3 linked regions of the Drosophila melanogaster genome follow. The protein of the gene in region 1 purifies or fractionates together with the protein of each later gene. This does not show direct contact. Each region holds a gene or a part of one and is shown in the gene's direction. Other genes may lie near its edges.

Region 1 (5,196 bases):
AACAAAGAACTTTTCGTGTAAGTATCGTATACGTGATTTTTTATGTAGAATGTGTGTATAGTTAGCAAATATTACTGGTAACAGATCAAATATAGAAGAGAAAACTTGAAATGAATGTTTTTAAATTTATTACTTAGCTGTTCTTTTTATATGATCTTATGCTAAACATCGATTTACAAAAAAATATCTCAATTTGTTATATGGACTTGCAAGTTACTGAAAAATGTATTATAATTTATTATCTATTAAATGTCACTACCCATCCACTTAAGTTACTGTAATCATTTTTGTTGTTTTGACAAATAAATTCCAGTTAAATAGGAAAAAACTAAGCCCTGATTTACTTGCACTCATTTGCAATTAGTTCAGACTCAGTGTGATGGCTTGTCTATTATAGAGACTCCTATAAATAATAATCAGTTCTAGAAATTATTTATATTTATGTTCGTAAAAAACCACAACGATTTAGATTATTTAAATGTAAAAGCTATTAATATTAACAGTTTGCGTTCTCCTGACCAGTCATAAGCGAAGCAAATGTAACTGACATTTGTTACCGTTTATTGTTTGTCACGAACTCAGTTAGATTCACTTCTCTGTTTCAGAGCTGATTTGCGATTGGTCGTTGCTTGGCGGTGTGTCCATGTCGTATACGTAATGTGAAACGGATTAGCTCGTTAAGATCAGATTGGAACCAGCTGTTGAGCAGAAACGGCAGTCACGTTTATAGCTCTCTAGCCCAGCTAGATCGCAAATTAATCCATTATCAGTCACTTTTCTTATCAGCCCAGACAACAACAGACCAACTGACATCGCATCAATTGAGACAGATCCTCCCCCTGTTGAACGATTTCATTATTTCTGAACTTAGTACACACTCAGCTTGTCATGCATATCACCAAGTGTCTATTCAGATTTTCCCACTCCCGGGCGCTCCATTGGGCTTCGCAGAAACTAAATCAGTATGCGATTAGGAGGTGCATCAGTCACCGAAGGCTCAGGTGAGGCGAGATAGTCTGACACTGATAAAGGGCCCGTCCTGCTATGGCACGTTCGTTTTAGCCAGATAGAGCGATAGACGGCGAGCCTTCTGAATCACCTGATGCTGTCTCATCCCCAGAAACTACTCACACTGCACAAAAGTCAGACTTTTCAAGAACAATTTCGATATTACACTCATTCCTTTGCATTGATTTTAAATAATACGTCATTTCCATAATACGACGTTTTGAATAAGTGGACTCATTTGACCGGAAATGGGAAATATACTCACTTCATACTTTTAATAATAATGCGTTCATTCAAGTAGTAACCAACGTCAAGTTCTAATTACGAGAACATATCTTCTTTTGCAATTGAGTCCAATCCAACTCATACGAACTTGAATTCATTATAAAATACGCTGTGATGTATGTAAAAAAATAAATTAGTAATGACTACACTACTACAAATTCTTTCATTGTAAATGTTTTAATTTACAATTCCTTAAATATGAATAAATTTTCTAAACAAAACTAGTTTTAGATAACATAGTATTTATTTGCTTTAGAGCCAATTTCCTGCCTATCTCAATAATGAATAATCTTTCTTCCAAATCAAAAATTATTTATAATCGTTTTTGGCAACAATCATAAGTTAGTGAGGGTCTTAAATACCACGTCAATTCATTTCAGGGTGATTCTATCTTATCGCCCTATTTTCGAGATTTCAGAAGAGCGAGGCTTTAGAAAATCAGGCTAAAGTATTTACGGTTTCCTTTTCACCACGGCAAAATGAACAAAATTTTCCATATTGGAATATAATGAGACCCTAGTGCTTCGCCAATTGTATAATTCTCTCTACTGCCCAATAATTTTCTCAATCAATCAATGCAAATGTGACAGAGTTTACGCATCAATAAATCTTATTTATTTGCGTTCTCAACTAAAAAGGCAAACAGAAAACACGATTTTAGCCAATTTTCAGCTGTGCTTCAGCTTCTTTCCCCCAAAGGGAACACTTGGTAACTCTGTTCCGGGCGGATCTTTGCGAAAATCTTATTTAAATTTAAATCTCCGGCACTTGGATCGAGGCAGTCGGATCGTTGCCTTCAAACGATCAACATCGCAGGGGCTTTATGGCGATAAAGCAGCGCTTTTGATTAGGAACGAGAGTGTATATAGTCCGCGTTCACATCTATATACATATAGTAATCTGGTGCACAAAACAATACAGATAGTGAGCGAGTTATAAAAACTCGTAGTCAGCTCAGCAAATTGCCAATAATAAAAGTGAGTGAAATGCGAAAACAAACTACAAATTAATTTGAAACTGAAAAAGTACCTTTACAAGTAATTGTAATTTGGTTTGTAACTCTCGACTGAAAAATACAACGCGAGCTGAATATACAAAAGCAATTAAATTATAATTTTCAATACAAATTGCTGTGGTTGCTGTCGTTTTCCCTCATATCTGCTGATATTTTCCCTGAGCTTTTTTTATCGCGTTGAAAACGTGAATTCTCGTTATTTTTACCACAGATCAGCGACTTGCGGTGTCAGTGATCTGTGGTCCCTGGGTATTTAGAATTTAAATGGACTTGCGGACAGAAATCCCACACCGAATAGTATATAAACTGCTGTCTAGTGTCAACGCTTCAAGTCTCGTTTTTGCACTGCCAAAAACCACTTTTTTTTTTATTCCAATATGAATTGCAGCTAATTTGAACTGTGAATTTCATTAGGAATCGAGTGAATAGCTGAAAGTAGCTGATCCAGCCCGACTGGAAGATGTACACTTTCTGTTGCTAAACCTATTTAATCTTATCAATATCAATATCAATTTCATTATATTCTTTCTAAGAAAGTTTCTAAGTTCTTTCTATATGTGCACTTCAAGCTGCTGACTTCAACGAGGCAATCAGTTTTTTTTTTTTATCAGTATCCCTGAACTTGTCCAAAAACAAGTTAAGTGCACTTAACTATATAGAGGTGAAATGATTCTTAAAACTGAAGAGCCTTGAATGCCGCTGTATTTCAAGTGAAATTCCATCAGAAGATTACTTCAAGATCTATTTTCAATATCAATGCAATAAACAATGCCCATGATAACGAATATTTGAGTTATCTTCGAGATTAAGTTCAATGCTTTCCAGTTTTATGAGCAATCGATAAACCTTTATTGTCCACTTGAAGATTGAAGATTAAGGCTCCAGTGGTTCATAATGTTACTAGGTCAAATTTTCCCCTTTATTTAATTAAGATTAAAACGCAGTACTTAAGCCACTCAATATGAATCCTTGTATTGCAAATCATTTTATTTAATTTGTTTAACTTAATTACTAATTATTTCCCTCACGCATGAACGTTTCGTTTGCAGCTAACTGCAAACCTTTTTACGATTCAATAACCTTTCGAAGGCCTTTCGATCGGCATTTGAACGGCTAATCAAAGCAAAAACGCACAGTATCTAAAACAAGTTAATTCAACCTGATGCAAGTTAATTCTTAATGACATTACCTGTTTTTGTGTGTCTTGTGTGTTTCTTCGTTTTCCTCGCGGACTTTTCAACATGTCATTCCAAACCCATCAGGCATTTGTTAGAATTTTCGACTAAGCCAACAAACCGTGCTTTATAATGGCTAGTTGAGTGATTAAATTAATCGGCAATTATACGAACGCGTTGAATGGCCCACATAACGATTAAAATCGTCCTTGAATGATTTTGGCAAAGTTTTGTTTTTCAAGCCCAGTTCAAAGATCTGAATTAACTGACTTTTGGCTATTGTATTCAAACAAAAACGTCATGCGAGGCACTTATCACTGCCATCGATGACGACAATGAAATTTTATAATACACATCTATATAAACAAATCATAAAGTCACTGGCAAACATAATAGCCCAACTAAATGGTGAGAGTGCGAATAAGCATTCAGAAAAGTTAATGATTTCGTTCACGCACCTTAAATTGTTGTTTAAACAATAGTTGCTTCATGATCGGGCTGCATTTTTATGATTTATATGGAATTTAAGACGGAATTGTGTGATTTTTGAGTAATGCGGAATCGGAAGTCCACGTAGGGGGGAATTCAAAATTCGAAAAGTTGTTAATACAATAATGTTTTCCAATGCCTGACACGTAGGGCCAGCTGTAGCGCCTGCTATTTGTCATCCATGGTTATCTGAAATGTTTTTCGAAAAGAGCCATAAATCAAATATTGGTTGAGTACGCCGAGCGGAACAAGAAAGTAAATATCTACAAAAAACTCAATGGAGTGTGTCTGGAAGTGTAGTAAGTGTTATAAGTCTATGATCCCAACTTGCAAATGCCGAATATGACTTCGCTAATGGAATCATAAATACTAACCACTTGTGACGTATGTATTAGATCAATGATTTAGTTGCACCTGCTAGTTGCTGTCGTCACAGAAAGATTGAAACAATGAACTTCTCTCTTTGTGGTTCTCATTACCGTGCGGCTCAATTTAAATTGCACAATTGTTTCGCCTATTTGAGTTCCCTTTGTTTTCTGATGCCCCATAGGGTTATATCATCGTAGTGCGATAATTCATCATACACTTAATGTTCCATAAAATACATTTGTACATTTCGTGTGCAATATGGTGGCCTTAGCCGTTCGAGTTTGAGTTCTACTGGCTTCCGATAATGGCTCTCCAAGCTGCGCTTAAGTTTTCCAATCCCATCACATAATCCCCTTTTTGCGACTCAAATTTCCAAATATGACGTATCTGTATATCCATACATTCGTTAATCTCTCGAAAGCAATCCTTATTCAGCGAATCAGTTCAATGAAGACTCGTTATGTCGGTCCACAGAGTGGCATTCGTGCAAAACGTCGCAATTCCGGTCCAGAATTTGGGGCCAGACGACACACGTGTCACTAACACACAACCCACTCTAATTATAGACTTGAAAATGTATCAGCTTGATTAGTTTGGATATAAATAAAATGTCAGGCGAATGTCACCATTCTTCGGTGACCTCAAATCGGGTACAGCGCGATTAAACCGCACTGCAATGCAAATCGCTCAGATATCGGGCTATACTCATTAAATTTCTGGATAACTGGTTAGTTTCCAATTCCAAAAAAAAGTTTCCACACTTGCCATCGTAAGTGGAGCATTACCTATTAGCATTTAAACTAGGCCTAAAATCCCCGAAAATTACTTCTTATCAGTAAGTACAGTGGGACCTTG
Region 2 (4,591 bases), 6.7 Mb from region 1:
TTTCGAAAAATATCCAACACTCTCTCTCTCTTCAACATTTTTGAATAATTGGAGAGCACAGTTTGTGGCGGTTCCTCCGCAAGGAGGCCACCACGTGGAAGGAAGCCATCGCTCTCATCCGCGAACACTTCTCGCCCACCAAGCCCGCCTACCAGATCTACATGGACTTCTTCCAAAACAAGCAGGACGACCATGACCCCATTGACACCTTCGTCATCCAGAAGCGAGCGCTGCTGGCCCAGCTGCCCAGCGGTCGCCACGACGAGGAAACGGAACTGGATCTTCTGTTCGGTCTGCTGAACATCAAGTACCGCAAGCACATCTCCCGCCACAGTGTCCATACCTTCAAGGATCTCCTGGAACAGGGCCGCATCATCGAGCACAACAACCAGGAGGACGAGGAACAGCTTGCCACAGCAAAGAACACCCGTGGCTCCAAGCGCACCACCCGCTGCACCTACTGCAGTTTCCGGGGGCACACCTTCGACAACTGCCGTAAGCGCCAGAAGGATCGGCAGGAGGAGCAGCACGAGGAGTAGGCGACAAAAAGAACATCAAATACCAACAGGCAGCAGCCAACGTCATTGATGACCTCATCGCTGCTGCCGCCCACCCAAACAGAACTTTTCGTAGCCTCGCCAGCCGATCGACGTCAGAGAGAGCCCAACAACCGGAGAGCTGGAGATGGGGAGCAGCCACATCAACAGCAGCAACAGCAGCCACATCTCTTCATACTCTTCATACTCACTGGCAATCGGCGTGCCGGTAAGCCTCGACTAGCTTCTGAAATCCACAAATCCACGCTGTTTGTATTGCTATTCGCAATGCCTCGAAAACGGCTCTATTTTCATATAATTTCACGCCGACTTGCGGCTACTTTGGCACAGAACGCCAGCTTTTGGAAAGCAATAATTTTTATTGCAACATTGAACCTTTATTTGCAACTAGAAACTAGATTTCGAGAATCATCGGGCGGGGCGGCTGAGGATCTGGCATTTCGTCCGTAAGATCGGTTATTCGCAATGGAGGAATATGATATTCGAACCAAATGGCGGGTGAAGTGCCTCGGCATGGAGCTCCATTTTCTTCGAATCTTATGTTTTGACATTGCGAGTCTGAAATGGATGTTGCCTGATCTCCAGCCGCCCCGCACAACCGTTGATTCTCACAACCGCCGGCTCCACTTTGTGCCGGTCAGCGGAGAAAAAGCGATTATTTGGCTATCAAAAGATATGATCACTGTGTTGAGAGACATGGCAATCATCGCTATTGTAACCATATATTTGCTGATTTTTCGTCTGATCCTGGTCCTTTGTGAAGCTAGCAAAAAACCCCCCGCCCGGTGAATGCCCACTTAGATCCTTTTGCAGGAGGATTTCGACGGCCCTGAAGGTGGGCGCCACCCGTTTCGTGATGATTCACTCTGAGCAATAATACCAAAAACATAGACCTTCCCTCTCTTATTGGCTCTCCCCAATGCCTCAAGCTTTTTCGAAGTTCGATTTCACAACAGGCGGATATAAAAGGGCTGCAATGTGGGAGAGCTGTTCAGTTCAAATCACCGGCCGCATTCGCTACACTGGCTTTGTCCGCCGACTGAACCAAGATTAATTTGATCACCTAACCTCACACAGCAGCGAAAATGGCCCAGCTTACACAGATGACCAACGAGCAGCTCCGCGAGCTGATCGAAGCTGTAAGAGCGGCCGCCGTGGGCGCCGCCGGAAGTGCAGCAGCAGCCGGAGGAGCAGACGCCAGCAGAGGCAAAGGCAACTTCTCCGCTTGCACACACAGCTTCGGCGGAACCCGCGACCACGACGTGGTCGAGGAGTTCATCGGCAACATCGAGACATACAAGGATGTAGAAGGTATCAGCGACGAGAACGCCCTGAAGGGCATCTCGCTGCTGTTCTACGGTATGGCCAGCACCTGGTGGCAAGGCGTCCGCAAGGAGGCCACCACGTGGAAGGAAGCCATCGCTCTCATCCGCGAACACTTCTCGCCCACCAAGCCCGCCTACCAGATCTACATGGAATTCTTCCAAAACAAGCAGGACGACCATGACCCCATTGACACCTTCGTCATCCAGAAGCGAGCGCTGCTGGCCCAGCTGCCCAGCGGTCGCCACGACGAGGAAACGGAACTGGATCTTCTGTTCGGTCTGCTGAACATCAAGTACCGCAAGCACATCTCCCGCCACAGTGTCCATACCTTCAAGGATCTCCTGGAACAGGGCCGCATCATCGAGCACAACAACCAGGAGGACGAGGAACAGCTTGCCACAGCAAAGAACACCCGTGGCTCCAAGCGCACCACCCGCTGCACCTACTGCAGTTTCCGGGGGCACACCTTCGACAACTGCCGTAAGCGCCAGAAGGATCGGCAGGAGGAGCAGCACGAGGAGTAGGCGACAAAAAGAACATCAAATACCAACAGGCAGCAGCCAACGTCATTGATGACCTCATCGCTGCTGCCGCCCACCCAAACAGAACTTTTCGTAGCCTCGCCAGCCGATCGACGTCAGAGAGAGCCCAACAACCGGAGAGCTGGAGATGGGGAGCAGCCACATCAACAGCAGCAACAGCAGCCACATCTCTTCATACTCTTCATACTCACTGGCAATCGGCGTGCCGGTAAGCCTCGACTAGCTTCTGAAATCCACAAATCCACGCTGTTTGTATTGCTATTCGCAATGCCTCGAAAACGGCTCTATTTTCATATAATTTCACGCCGACTTGCGGCTACTTTGGCACAGAACGCCAGCTTTTGGAAAGCAATAATTTTTATTGCAACATTGAACCTTTATTTGCAACTAGAAACTAGATTTCGAGAATCATCGGGCGGGGCGGCTGAGGATCTGGCATTTCGTCCGTAAGATCGGTTATTCGCAATGGAGGAATATGATATTCGAACCAAATGGCGGGTGAAGTGCCTCGGCATGGAGCTCCATTTTCTTCGAATCTTATGTTTTGACATTGCGAGTCTGAAATGGATGTTGCCTGATCTCCAGCCGCCCCGCACAACCGTTGATTCTCACAACCGCCGGCTCCACTTTGTGCCGGTCAGCGGAGAAAAAGCGATTATTTGGCTATCAAAAGATATGATCACTGTGTTGAGAGACATGGCAATCATCGCTATTGTAACCATATATTTGCTGATTTTTCGTCTGATCCTGGTCCTTTGTGAAGCTAGCAAAAAACCCCCCGCCCGGTGAATGCCCACTTAGATCCTTTTGCAGGAGGATTTCGACGGCCCTGAAGGTGGGCGCCACCCGTTTCCGGTAGCGGCTTCGGCTGCTTCCGGTTTCCGGTGTCGCAACCCTTCGCGATGTCCCCCGTGCGAGTGGAGCTACAGTGGGCGTGAGCCGGGCAAAACCTAAATTTCTTCGGAGATTTAAAAAACCAACAAATTTTTTGACTTTTGTCAAAACAATTCGAACCCACATAGCACTACGATGGCTAACGATTCGCCATCCGTGCGGTTGGCACGCCAAAACTGTCTCTTCGAGATCACGGGCCTAGGGCTGTTTAACATTCGACCCAAGCGATTTCGCGACAGGCTTCGGCACGCCAGTATATAACCCAAAACACACAAACGTCAGGGGCTGGAACGCGTCACTGCCGTGCTCCTCCAGCCGGCACAGTCATTCCCCGCCCCCACACCAAGCAAAACCGGCCGCTTGTGCAGATGACATAGGCGCGACCAGCCAACTGACCCGGCTGACCAGACTTGCACCGTGCGCCATCAACTGGAATCTTGGCCACAAGCACAGCAATAGTTTGGCCCGCTATTCCCACACAGAAACCCAGAGTGGGGGCCTATGGAAGACCACAAGTGGTTGCGTGGAACTGCTAAAAATATAAAACTGTAAAACTAAAGACTGAAACTAGAAAACAACCATTAAACTCAGAAACGGAAAACTGCGTAATTGTTTTTATTTTATGGGGTGGATGGGACAACATTTTTACAGGGAATCATTTTTTTAAACAAAAGTTGATATAATATAAGAAAAAATGCAATTAGCCAAGCTCTACAAAGCTCACGTATTTAATAAATGCTCCACCGAATGAAATGAATATTACAATATGCCATATAAAAATACAACATTAAATGATATTAAAACTGGTTTCTTTATTTCAATATAATTAAATGTCTCAGCCCTTCTAGACGTTATGTATAATAATTTCAAGTGGCTACAATCAGACTTAAAATCTAACTGGATTTACTTTCTACTAATAATATCCCAATCAGAAGTCAGATGTTGTGTGATTACATCTTGTTACATTTTTGATGATATTTAAATAAATTATGCTACATCATTAGTCATTGTGTCAAAGTAATTTTAATTTTATACAGTTGCAGTTTCGAGGTCGGACGGAACGGTCTGAAATTAACTAACAATATCTCGTGTATTTTGTGTGTGCTTTCGAAAAAAGTTTGTTTGAAAAATGTGTTAAGAAAGTGGCGCCGCCGAAATACCGATATCGCCAAGTATCCAATTATCGACGTGCCGTGGGTCCCGATTGTCTAACATAAATAAAGCCTGCTGATATCGAAGTACAACAGCCCGATAGGTGGAAGCAAATATCGA
Region 3 (5,013 bases), on another chromosome or scaffold:
ATGTCGTAGTAGAAGCCGTTTTCAATGGGCGGACCGTAGCACAGGTGTCCACCATAGATGCGCTCCATGGCCTCACCCATGATGTGGGCAGAGCTGTGCCAGAAGACGGCCTGCGCCTCAGGGTCGTCGAACTTGAGAAGCTGCAGGGTGCAGTTTCCCTCGAGCACACGGTCCAAATCCCACACCTCGCCGTTCACCTTGGAGATGACGGTGTTGTCAGCGAGACCCTGACTAATGCCGCGGGCCACTTCGTACGGAGTGGTCTCCCAGGAGGTGGCGTCCACCTGCTTGCCATCGGGCAGTGTCACCTTGATGGGCTCACGCTTCTTGGCCGCCAGTTCGGCCTCGTATTCCGCCTTGCACTTCTCCCAGAAGACATTGCGCTCCTCGATGTACTTGGGCAAGGGACTGAGTTCTGAAATCAATATAGCAGAGATCAGTGGAATTTCAGGTATTAGAGAGAAGAAGGCAGCTAATCTTAAAGATATGCTACATATCTTACAGACGGAAGTGCGTTTTGTGTTTTTAATTCTTAGTTAGAATTACTTACCCTTGCGAGTATCTCCACCGCCGGATGGCTTCTCCTTTTTCTCCTTCTTCATCTTGGCAGCCTGCAAATCCATCGGAAATAGGTTAAAAATCAATATAAACCGGAGATATTCAAGTGGCCACAAGTGTGCTACGTATGCAATTAGACAAATGCTCTTTTTCGGTATCTACTTTCGACTGATGTTTTCTTATTGTTTAAACAATTGGGGACATGGCAATGAGCACTTTTCGGTGCTATGTTTTCGGTGCTCCTATCTCTGTTTTATCGAGCCGTCTTTGAGCGTATCTTCGTCGTTTTATGGCTGATGCAATAGAGTAGCAAAAAAAAACAGACACTCATGAAGTTGGTTGGTTGTTAGTGACGTCACAGCCGGCGGCACTGATTCATTGGAGAATCGCATACACTCACACAGACAAGCATAACATTTACACGTGCCAGCAGTAACAGGCGTTTAAATTGAAGTTTAGGTCAATTCTTTTTAGCTTAAAACACCAACCAAAGTTGCGTAGCTGTGTTGTTGTTGTTCTTTCAATTGTGGTTGCTGTTGTTGTTGTTGTTTTGGTGGCTTCGACTGCGTCTGAATTTTCGGCAAAATCCACTGGCAAATGCGGCTTATTTGGCTATAATATCTGCCGCCCTGCGGCGCCAACTTCAACATAATTCGGCTAACTAGCACTTCTCATACACTCGAATGCAGTTCGAAAAGAGTTTAACATGCCTTTTGATTGTTCAAATCCAAGTTATTTAGTTCCGTCACCACGTTGTCGCCCATTTTTTACGAAACAAATTTATCAAAAAGGGGCACAGTGTTACCAGGTGGCAAAATAACAGAGACATGGGAACCTTACAAAATGCAATGCTAGCATCAGTTCAAAATGCAACATTCGTACCAAGCAATATAGTAGTATACATTTTAAAGGTTTCTAGCGGCGGAAAACAAATGTTTCCCAATAATGTTAAAACTAATATAAAAGTCAGTTGATAAACCTTTTTTTTTTAGTTTGCTTATGCCACGAGATTTCTAGTATATTTAAGTTAAGCTAAATGATACCTCGGTTTCAACAATTGACCTTCCAACAAATTAAATATATATATTTTTTCTTTAATACTTCTTGACTTAAATCTTAAATCACCCCTCGCTGAGAAAAGTCTTAATTACCAGTATGTGTTGGCAACACTGCGCGCCCAACTGCGAAAATAACGGTCAGCTGTTGATTTGTTTGGCGCCAAGTCGAGTTCGAAAGTGGCCCCAATTCGAGTCCTGCGATTCGGGACAAATATTGATTTTCTCACAGTGCTGACATAATTTCCTCGCCATCGAGTGCAGTCGTGTTTACCTAGCATTCCACGCCTAAGATTGGCCAAACAGAGTACAAATTTCGGTCGGAGCGTAACGGAAAAAGGCGACAAGATTGCACACCTACTGGAAAACCCCCTGCATCAAGGCAACGGTGGAACGGCGGACCGTCTGGGCGTGGACTTCGAGTTCTACATGGCCTCGAAGGTGCATCCAAGTCCGGGGGCGGCGCGCAGTGTGTGGGCGTTGCCCCTAACCGCCTCCTCCTCCTGCAACATGGTCGTCGCGGAGGAGGATGGCCATGCCCACGCCGACGACATCCATTTGGATCATCGACCGCATTCGCCGCCATTAACGGGTCGCGGCACGGACGGTGGACACGGCAGTAGCGGCGTCGAGGACCACGAAAATGTGCTCCTCTTTGAGGGGCTCGATGGTGCCACCACCGTGAGTTTGGACGACATCTTCGATATTATCAAGAACGGAGAGGTCAGCGAGGTGGAGAATCTCGTGGACAAGTTCGGCATGGAGTGTCTGTCGGCCAGGGATCGTCATGGCTACACGCCAGCCCACTGGATAGCTCTCAACGGCAATGTCCAGCTGATGCGATACCTCATCGAACGCACGGCTCCGATCGATCTGCCCTGTTTGGGTACGCAGGGTCCACGGCCCATTCACTGGGCGTGCAGGAAGGGTCATGCGTCCGTGGTGCAGGTCCTCCTCCAGGCTGGAGTTGCCGTCAATGCGGCGGACTTCAAGGGACTTACACCCCTCCATCTCGCCTGCATGTACGGCCGTACTGCAACGGCGGCCTATCTTCTTGGAATGGGAGCGCTGAACAACCTAACTGACATAAACGGCGATACGGCACTCCACTGGGCAGCGTACAAGGGACATGCCGATCTTATGCGACTCCTCATGTATTCCGGCGTTGAGCTTCAAAAGACGGACAACTTTGGATCGACTCCACTGCATCTGGCTTGCCTGTCTGGTAACATGACGTGCGTTCGCCTGCTGTGCGAGAAGTCCCAGCTGGATCTGGAACCGAGGGACAAGAATGGAAAGACGCCGATCATGTTGGCACAGGCTCATCAGCACCAGGATGTGGTGCGCCTGCTGTACGGCGAGGTGAAGAAGAAGTCCCGTTGGATTCCCTCAGTCTCGGAAAGTTGGGGCTGGCTCTTTGGCGGAGCTGGAGACTCCAAGGGACCGCTGTTTCTATTTCTCTTCTCTGTGCTACTTTGGGGCTATCCCATGTACATGATCCGTGCGATTCCCATTACGTGGAACATATTGAGACGCTCGCACTATTGCTTTATATACTGGAACGCCGTAATGTGGATAAGCTGGGCCATTGCCAATCGCCGGGATCCGGGGTATATACCACTCAGTTCGGATGCCTACTACCGGGCCATCAAGCAGATTCCGTACTTCGACAAACTGAAGAAGCGAAATGTGATGCTAACCCGACTATGTCACAGCTGCAGGTGCCTCCGGCCGCTGCGAGCCAAACACTGCCGCGTGTGCAACCGGTGTGTCTCGTACTTTGACCACCACTGTCCCTTTATCTACAACTGCGTGGGACTGAGGAACAGAATGTGGTTCTTCCTGTTCGTCCTCTCGGTGGCCGTCAACTGCTCGTTCACCATCTACTTTGCCTGCTATTGCGTGATGATCGAGGGCTTCACGATGCTCTATGTGCTGGGACTCATCGAGGCGGTTGTGTTCTGCGGCTTGGGTTGGATACTCACATGCACTTCGGTAAGTGCTTCTTTTCCAAAAATATTAATCGTTTTGACATCATTTGCACTGGCAGATCCTGCACGCCTGCATGAATCTCACCACAAACGAGATGTTTAACTACAAGCGTTATCCTTACTTGCGGGACAAACGCGGACGATATCAGAATCCCTTCTCGCGTGGTCCCATCCTGAATTTACTCGAATTCTTTGTCTGCCTGCCGGACCGGGGCGATGACAACGATCTCCTGCTGGAGGATAACATTTGATTAAGGATCTAGGATCGAGCCCCTGCTCGCCGGCGCAAGCTGCCCGTGCGTGGATAATGTTGCGAGGAGGCAGCCAGAGACCCACTCGGGTAGGCTGCCAGTTTGGTTTTGCTCCGCAGGCTTACTGCTTACTCGAATGCTTTAAAGTTCGAACCAAAGGTCGTCAAGTGCGTGTTTTATCATTTACAATTGCAATCAACATATCCTTGCGGAAGGACAAATCGATAGCAAATTCCAAGTGCAATTCAGAGCATCAATAAATTACATTGCTAAGATTCCATTATTGTTAACGGCTCCAAATCAATTCCTTCCGCAATGGTGTTCAAAGCATCGGCCAGCCGTGCTTTTTGCTTTTTTTAACTAACTAATTACCTTTTAGGCTTGGATAAGAATACGCTTCTCTTGTTAGTTTTTGTACAAAATTGTTATGTATAAAATGTGTTATTTAATGATCTCTATATATTATATACCTATTATAATCATAAATGGTGTAAAGTTCACTAAATGGCTAGGCAGCGGTTAGTCACTTGGACGTGACCGTCACCAGTTTGTTCATTTTGTGTTCGGGGAATTGCACAAGTAATACTAGTAGAAGATCAGATCGGAGAATACGATTATGTTGTGTGTACACTTTGGCATGTATCTTGGGTGATGGGGGAGTCTAGAATGAATCGAATAATTCGTGAAGTAATTGTGCTCGTTATGCTTAGCTCTCAAAGCAAAAATCATAGTTTTCGGGATCCTCCGGTATTGGCGGTGGGTCCTTGCTGATGTCCACACCTTCCGTGTCCAGCAGGCGCAATTTGATCTCCATCGACAGCAGAGTGTCGAAGTCCTCGTTCTTTTGCTTGCTGACCATCGGTTGACCCAGCAGCGCGTTTATTCCATCCGTCCAGTAGTTGAATATGCTTTCGTCGGGTGCCACAAAGTCCAACGTAGAGTGCTCCATGTTTTCGAAGGTGATGGAAAAGGCCAGGTTTACCGCCGATTTCCGAATGCGAGTTTCCTTCATATGCGGGCATTCCTTGCCCTCTAGCAATTGCTTAATCTCACTGATGGGCAGTTTCTTGGGCAACTCCTCCATGGTGGGTATTGTCTTCTCGTCGCAATCTCCGTAATGAATCACCTTGTGATTCGGCGAAAGACGAGCGTACCAGA

The links. The genes of interacting proteins can lie anywhere in the genome.
Region 2: the proteins of Treh (region 1) and Arc1 purify together in Drosophila melanogaster (affinity purification with mass spectrometry, with the first as the bait; one large-scale study listed by BioGRID). This does not show direct contact.
Region 3: the proteins of Treh (region 1) and Patsas purify together in Drosophila melanogaster (affinity purification with mass spectrometry, with the first as the bait; one large-scale study listed by BioGRID). This does not show direct contact.

Annotation. Positions count from the first base shown.
Region 1 is NT_033778.4:21,078,542-21,083,737, forward strand, and holds the start of Treh (trehalase), read left to right. Parts: upstream 1-2,066; 5' UTR 2,067-2,330; intron 2,331-5,196. UniProt on the Drosophila melanogaster protein: Enzyme that cleaves trehalose to produce 2 glucose molecules that can be used by the glycolytic pathway.
Region 2 is NT_033778.4:14,357,252-14,361,842, reverse strand, and holds Arc1 (Activity-regulated cytoskeleton associated protein 1), read left to right. Parts: upstream 1-1,545; 5' UTR 1,546-1,642; coding exon 1,643-2,407; 3' UTR 2,408-3,916; downstream 3,917-4,591.
Region 3 is NT_033779.5:12,100,090-12,105,102, reverse strand, and holds Patsas (patsas), read left to right. Parts: upstream 1-1,817; 5' UTR 1,818-1,958; coding exon of another isoform or gene 1,959-2,042; coding exon 2,043-3,608; intron 3,609-3,663; coding exon 3,664-3,855; coding exon of another isoform or gene 3,856-3,867; 3' UTR 3,868-4,338; downstream 4,339-5,013. Other genes in the region: ThrRS (Threonyl-tRNA synthetase), read right to left, coding at 1-415, 551-611, 1,047-1,208; Ced-12, read right to left, coding at 4,562-5,013.